2 linked regions of the Ovis aries genome follow. The protein of the gene in region 1 interacts with the protein of each later gene in a biochemical or structural test. Links are inferred from orthologs where the notes say so. Each region holds a gene or a part of one and is shown in the gene's direction. Other genes may lie near its edges.

Region 1 (3,648 bases):
CTGTTTATAGCATTATTTTAAGTAACAAAATTTTGAGTCAAACAAACGTTCATCATTAAGATATTGGTACCATAGATAAATGAAAATGGTAGGTCAGAGAATAGTATTTATAAAAATGGGCTTTTTTTTTTTTTAAATCAATGTGTGTAAGTGACCACTTATGCATAGCAGAAAATCCATAAAGCAAGTGCACCGGACTACTAATTGTGGTTATATCTGGAGAAATGAGGTTGGGTGTTTTCATTTAACTCTATTAATGTAATATAATGGTTAAAATTTTTATTACAAACAGGTGTTTGTTTTATATTTTAAAATTAATTTTTAAATTACTGATAGGTATTAGAGAATCTTGAAAGTCAGCTGTGAAGTTCAGAGTTTCAGCTAGAGGGGACCATTAGTTTTACTGCAAAATTTAATACTTGGGTACAGTTACATGTCAGCATTGAGTGTAGACGTATTATACCAGAGGGTCCAGCACGTGCTGGATTCCCACATGTCGTTCACTTTGCTGCACTCTGAATTGAGTGATTGTGCCCTTGTTTTCAAAGAAAGAAACCTCATTTTAGTAGTAAAATGAGCAATCACAAAGGTATCAGAACTAGTCTATGGTAGAGTTCAAAGTTCAGTGCTTTTCTTCTATCTTGTAGCTGTTGTCAGAGCTGTTCTTTAAGCAAATTAATTATACAGTTGAGAAACTAGACTAAAGAGATAATACGAACCACATTGAGAGCTGCTATCAAGAAATGGGAGCAAAGAGGGGAGGGCATTTGGAGGAGAGAACATCTGTTTGAACCTGGATCTGAGGTGTCTGTAAATATCCGAGCTGCTCCTGGGGCAAGGAGCATGTCAGGTGAAGAACCAGTGGTGACTCAGACTCGGAAACATGGGTTAGTTCTTGGTTGACCCATCACACAGAGCAGCAGAGGAAAAATGAAGATGTGTAAAGGGAAATTGGTGAGTTTGACTTTGTGCATGTCTTGATTACTAAAATTGCCATCTCTTACAGACACTGATAAGCAGATGTCCTGCCTTAGAAACATGCTGTTAACTACTTGAAATAAAACTGAATGATGGTTTTCTTCTCAGCAGCAAGGAGTGCAGCCAACAGCCCCCTCTCAGCAGGTGGCGCAGTATCCGCTCCCTCAGACATCGGCCCCCAGCGAGGCCGCGATTGCACAGCCCATGAGTCAGCCTCCACCTCCGCAGGCCTTGCCACACGTGTCCGCGGGAAAACAGGTGAGTGCCATACTTCTGGAAGGAGCACCGCATGACTTCTGCTTCTCTGGTGGTAAAACTGCTAAATGGAATGAACATCACTTCTGTGCATTGTTCCCGTTCAGTCGCTCAGACTGCAGCCCGCCAGCTCCTCTGTCCATGGTGTGTCTTTTGTAGATATGAACTGATTAATATAAATGGGTTTATAAAGCAGTGGTAATCCAAAAATGTTCAGTTTTTAGGTTTATCAGCCTAATAGAAGTTCGACAGATGTAGAACTGATAAGGGTGCTGCAGTGATGACATTTTCTAGAATTGTCAGTTGTATCTGTTCTAGGTTTGCAGTTATGCCGTGTTTTCACATAGACTTATGTGTTGTTCCCTGCCCGCATTGTCTTCTGACAGTCATAAAAAAACCTTATATGGAGTGGGGTTTTTTTTTTTCTCTAAATAATCCTTCTAGTACTTGAAAAGTAGCCTTGTTGAAGATAAACACCTTTCTGAATGACATTTTTTCAACTTAAAGGTTGGGGCTTGTGCTTGTATTTTGATACAGTGTATTGTTTCTGTCATATTTTGTCACATCTGAGACTGTCAGTTGTAAAATGCACCATTATTTTAGGTAACACTGAAAACTGACGCACCATTAATTGTAAGGTATATCTTAATTTCATAAATGTTAAAGTGACCATGTGGAAAGGCATGATTACATCCTGCAATTAGTGGAAGATGGTTGTAGACCTACTCTTACAAGCCTGGGTAGGACATGAGAACTGTGGAAGCAATATGGATGAGCTATAAGTTCACTGAGGAGAAAGTCCTTTGAATTTCAGCCATTATATAATAGCAGTTGTAAGTTCAGTGACAGCAAATGTACCAGTGGATTATGGCTTGAGAAACATGCCTCAGTCAGGATGTGAAGATATTTCCTATGCAAGAGCTCTCTGTTGTTGATGGTGACGTGTGAGTGGAATTTTCTAGCGCAGATTTAGAACAGCAGCACTCCATCAGCCGCCCGTCTGCAGCTGCCTCTCCCTGATCCTGTTGGCACGTTAACTTACACTAATATATGCAGGGATTGGTGTTTGTTTTAATTTTCTTTCTTTTTGGCTAATAAATAAGTCTTGCTTTTGGCAGCCTTGCTTTTTTTTTTTTTAAGTCTGTCTGTTTTGTTTTTCTTTACTTTCCCAGCTTCCAGTTTCCCAGCCAGTACCAACTCTCCAAGGCGAACCTCAGATCCCAGTTGCAACACAGCCCTCAGTCGTTCCCGTCCATGCTGGTGCTCACTTCCTTCCTGTGGGACAGCCACTCCCGCCCTCTTTACTGCCCCAGTACCCCGTCTCTCAGCTCCCCTCTGCTCCTCCTCACGTGTCTGTGGCTCAGCCAGGCTTCCCACCCCTGCCCGTCACGATGGCAGCTGGTGTTAGTCAGCCTCTGCTCACCTTGGCTTCATCTGCTGCGGCAGCGGCCGTCCCAGGGGCACCTGCTGTCGTCCCTAGTCAGCTTCCTGCCCTCCTGCAGCCTGTGACCCAGCTGCCGAGTCAGGCTCACCCACAGCTCCTGCAGCCAGCAGTTCAGTCCATGGGGATCCCCGCCAGCCTTGGACAGACTGCCGAGGCGCCACTTCCCCCTGGAGATATTCTCTACCAGGTATTGTGCTGGCTGGTAGATGAAGGGCCCCAGAGGGTTTGGTCGTAATGACAGAACATCGGGGGACTTAAAAACCGAGTAACTGAATATCATAATAACCAGCAATAACACAGGTTGCTGTTCTCAACCAGACATGCCAAAATAGTCCACATCTGAGCAAGGACCCAGTAGAGATGTCTGACTCATTTGCATCTTTTCCAAGACCCCTCCTTGAGAGAAAAATGCCTCTCTCCACATTCGCTGTGAGCTGAGAGCTCGGTATGACTCAACAGTAGATTGTATCAGGCTGCGTTTTTTTTATGGGAGGAGTAATGGTGGATAGCCAACATGGTGTCAATGGAAACCTTTAGGGTTTAGATTTAGAACACTAGCAAGTCATTGTGTGACTGCCATGACTGATACCTGCAAGAGTTTTTGCATTTTCATGTTGGACTGCCTGGAAAGTAGGTGGTTTTTCTTGGAGGAATTATGTTTATTCTTCCTATTTAAAATGATCTCCAGAAGGGGAAAAAAGTAGCAGTTTATTATTATTTTTTTTTAAGTCACAGTTTAAAAGTTCAGTTATGTACTGTCCTGTCCTCTAAATCAAAATCAGTCAATCATTTCGTTTGAAAATCTTTAAATTATTAGAGATTGGGCTACTTTTCTTTGCTGTGTGCTTTCCTTTCTTTTTCTTCTTCCCTTGCATGTCTTGCTGTTTTGCTCATTTGATGACCCAACCTGCACTAATTTCCCTTCCTCGTTTCTGTCACAGGGCTTCCCACCTCGACTGCCATCACAGTAC
Region 2 (3,648 bases), on another chromosome or scaffold:
TCTCTGAGCTTTACTTTCCTGACCTATCAGTGTGGATGGCAATATCTGCCTCACTGAGTTGCGATGACAACATACTTCACATGATGACTGGCAGTGGTAGCTGCTACCCTACTTGTAGAAATAGTACTAGTAACATTTTTCAGGACATCATCAGTTACATACATCTTTGTGGTAACCACCACAAAACAGTGTTTTACAATTTTTTTCCCATACTCCAGTGAATAAGTACCCCCTACAGTCTATTCATTCAAAAATATTTTTGAATTAATTTTATCTTAAAAATGCATCCAACTTCTATACTCTATTCTAAAATACATTCATATGTTGAGATATATATATATATGAATATTTTGTTTCAATATAAAATTTAGTCTCCTTGCCCCCGGTCCTTAAGGACACGCAGATGGTAGAAGATGCCCCAAGTGGCCTCACATGGCCCTAATACAACTGTGAGTAGGGGCACTTGGGAAGCATAGACTTAATGCTTGTGTTTCTGTGGGAAGATGTTCACTAGACTTTTCTTGAATATTCATACTTGTTGGTGATCAGGGGCAGCATCTTCATGTATGTAGCTCTGTAAACTGGCACTTCAGGTCATCCATGGACCCTGAGCAGTGAGCATGTATGTAGCAGGGGTTGGTGACCCATAGGTCTGGATGTTGGGGCAGCCAGCTAATGTCCGCTTGTCTCTCTGGAGGTCATGATCGTGGTTGGTGGCCAGGCACCCAAGGCCATCCGCAGCGTGGAGTGCTATGACTTTGAAGAGGATCGCTGGGACCAGATCGCTGAGCTTCCCTCCAGGAGATGCAGAGCAGGTGAGCCGCGCGGTCTCCCGGTGAGCCGCACGGTCTCCCAGTGTGCCGGCTGTCCCTAGCTCCCCCTCCCACCCTGCGGGTCTCGGCAGGGTGCTGAAATTCTGCTCCCTGGTTCTGAAAACATTGTGCATTCCACACTCCCTTCCTTTCCCTTCCCCACCTGCGCACTTTCTAGCTGTACCTTCTGGGATCGGTTCTTATGTGCTTAGGGACTTTAGGCTAATGCAAATATTTGCTTGACACAAACAAAATTAGCAATGCAAATCTGAGAAGAAATCCAATGAGTCCCATAGTGATTTCCAAATATCACAAGTTGGAGATCACCTTCTTTGTTAAACTATCAGTATTTATATGCCTGCCTCATTCCCACATTGTCACTTATCGAAATGTGAGTCGTCAGCTGTTTGAGATGACCCTGATGCCTTGGTTTCCTGTGCCTCAGGTGTGGTGTTCATGGCTGGCCATGTGTATGCAGTGGGCGGGTTCAATGGCTCACTGCGTGTGCGGACAGTGGACGTGTATGATGGGGTGAAGGACCAGTGGACGTCCATCGCCAGCATGCAGGAGCGCCGGAGCACGCTGGGTGCAGCTGTGCTCAATGACCTGCTCTATGCCGTGGGGGGCTTTGATGGCAGTACTGGTAGGTCCTGGACTCAGTCACCATCCAGCCTGAGACATGCACTCCATGTTACTCTGGTTTGAAGCTTCCCAGGTGGCACAGCAGTAAAGAATCCTCCTGCCAATGCAGGAGACATAAGAGATGCAGGTTCGGTCCCTGAGTTGGGAAAAATCCCCTGGTGTAGGAAATGGCAACCTACTCCAGTATTCTTGCCTGCAGGATTCCATGGACAGAGAAGCCTGGCAGGCTACAGTCCAAGGGGTCACAAAGAGTCAGACACAACTGAATAACAACCCACAAGCCTGGTTTGCTCAGCCAGCTCTTGGGCCAACCTTTGGTCTCTCTGTAGCTACTGTCCCAAGAACATACCCATCCTTCCTCCCCTCCCAGCTTGTGTGTCAGAGTCACACCTTCCTACACACACAATACCATCCATGTGCTCTCATTTCTAGGTTCCAGGAAGTACCCTACCCTCAGAAGAGTCCCTTTTATCCTTTCTAGTGTCTGGGAACTCTTTTACTCCACAGACAAAACATAGAGCAAGGTCAACTGGAGGGTGTCTCGGGACTGTGATCTGAACCCTCTGCTGAACAGACGGGAGAGCTGAGGTTCAGTTGTGGGAAGAGACTTGGCTTGAGTCACACGCCTTTCTCCATTGCCCTCCCTGCTGCCCCACCAAAGCTGTGCAAGGCTGTGACACTGCAGAAGCGTCTCCTTGCTCCTGGTGTTCATCTCGCTCCAAAGTCAGAATCGGAAACTATTGATACTAGTGGACATGGACTTGGAGAAATTATCTTGCCTCTTCTATCTCCAGGTGGAGGTCTCTGTAAACACTTGACTCTTTTGGTCCCCAGTGACATGAAAAACAATATGCTTTATCCCTCTGAAATTTCATTTCTGTCTTCACTAGTTGGTAAACGTTTGCAACCTTCTCTTTGCCTCTTTCATGTCATTCCAAGTTATATAGCACCTCCGGAGGCTGCTTCTAATGAGGGGGGACTGGGAATAAAGAGAACAAAGGATAGTGGGGCATTGTTTCTTTTAGGCATTGCTTTTGACTGCTAGTAGAAAACCTGACTACACCATAGCTTAAACAAATGAGAGCTTTTGTTTTACTTGTGAAACAAAGTCAGAGGTTGGCAGTTGCTGACTTGGTTTAGTTGTTCAAGGATCTTGGGCCAAGATCTTGCAGAGTCTCTTAGACTTGTCCTCATGGTCACAGGGTGGCTGTTATAGCTCTTGCCAAAACGTTTGTATTCCAGGTAGCAAGAAGTAGTGGGGTGGGGGGAAGGGGTCAGGGCTGAGAAGGGGGGCTCTTATCAGAAAATCAAAGGCTATTTCAGAAATCCTGCTTAGATTGCATTGACTTGGTCACCCCCAGCTCTAAGGAAGTCTGGGAAGACAAGTTTTAATCTTTCTAGCCTCTAAAATTGAGGAAGACAAGGGGAAAGAAGGTTGAAATAGGTGTTCAGTGAGGCAATCTCAGGTATTTAGTCCATTCTGTGGTTTTATGATTTACTTTAGACCCTCATTCTTCTCACAGCCCACTCTCTAGGTCAGGTCTTAGTGGTCCCCTCAGACAGACACTGCAGATGTGTTTATGGAGGTGCCATGGGATGCATGGTGAGGCAGAGGTATTGCTGAGTCATACTCCCCCAGGTTTTCGGCCCCCAGGTCTGCACTCTTGCCCCATCCTCACTCTCAGCCCAGCAGGGTGAGGCCTGGCACCATAGAAACCTCACGAGTTGCTTGTCTCCCAGGGCTGGCGTCGGTAGAAGCCTACAGCTACAAGACCAACGAGTGGTTCTTCGTGGCCCCGATGAATACGCGCCGTAGCAGTGTAGGCGTGGGTGTTGTAGAAGGTAAGGAGCGACAACGGATGGCTTCTTTTCCTGCCCTGGCCCCCGGGCCTTCTTCCAGTGTCCTGGCTCTGTTCCTCTCCTTACTGCCGAGTTGGATACTAGTTTCCTGATTAGCAGATGAGAGAGGTTGAGACTCAGAGAGGTGTAGCTACTGGCCCAAGGCTAGAAATTAGGTGAGCTGGACTGTGGGTACCAGGAGGAGCCTAGAGGGAAAATGCTGGGCTCTCGTTTTGGCTATTTATCTATATCACAAGATGGGAAGTCCAGAGTCAAGATATAACCCAGGAATACAGTGTGTTTGGGAGGGTGAGAGTCAGTTGTTTAATCAGTTTTGTCCTCATATTTTATGTCG

Evidence for each region. The genes of interacting proteins can lie anywhere in the genome.
Region 2: of the proteins of WNK1 (region 1) and KLHL3, one has a biochemical effect on the other in vitro, tested with the Homo sapiens proteins (2 studies listed by BioGRID). The link is inferred for Ovis aries from reciprocal best matches to the Homo sapiens genes WNK1 and KLHL3.

Annotation. Positions count from the first base shown.
Region 1 is NC_056056.1:213,515,542-213,519,189, forward strand, and holds part of WNK1 (serine/threonine-protein kinase WNK1), read left to right. Parts: intron 1-1,086; coding exon 1,087-1,236; intron 1,237-2,405; coding exon 2,406-2,864; intron 2,865-3,618; coding exon 3,619-3,648. UniProt on the Homo sapiens protein: Serine/threonine-protein kinase component of the WNK1-SPAK/OSR1 kinase cascade, which acts as a key regulator of blood pressure and regulatory volume increase by promoting ion influx.
Region 2 is NC_056058.1:46,721,533-46,725,180, reverse strand, and holds part of KLHL3 (kelch-like protein 3), read left to right. Parts: intron 1-697; coding exon 698-815; intron 816-1,257; coding exon 1,258-1,455; intron 1,456-3,194; coding exon 3,195-3,296; intron 3,297-3,648. UniProt on the Homo sapiens protein: Substrate-specific adapter of a BCR (BTB-CUL3-RBX1) E3 ubiquitin ligase complex that acts as a regulator of ion transport in the distal nephron.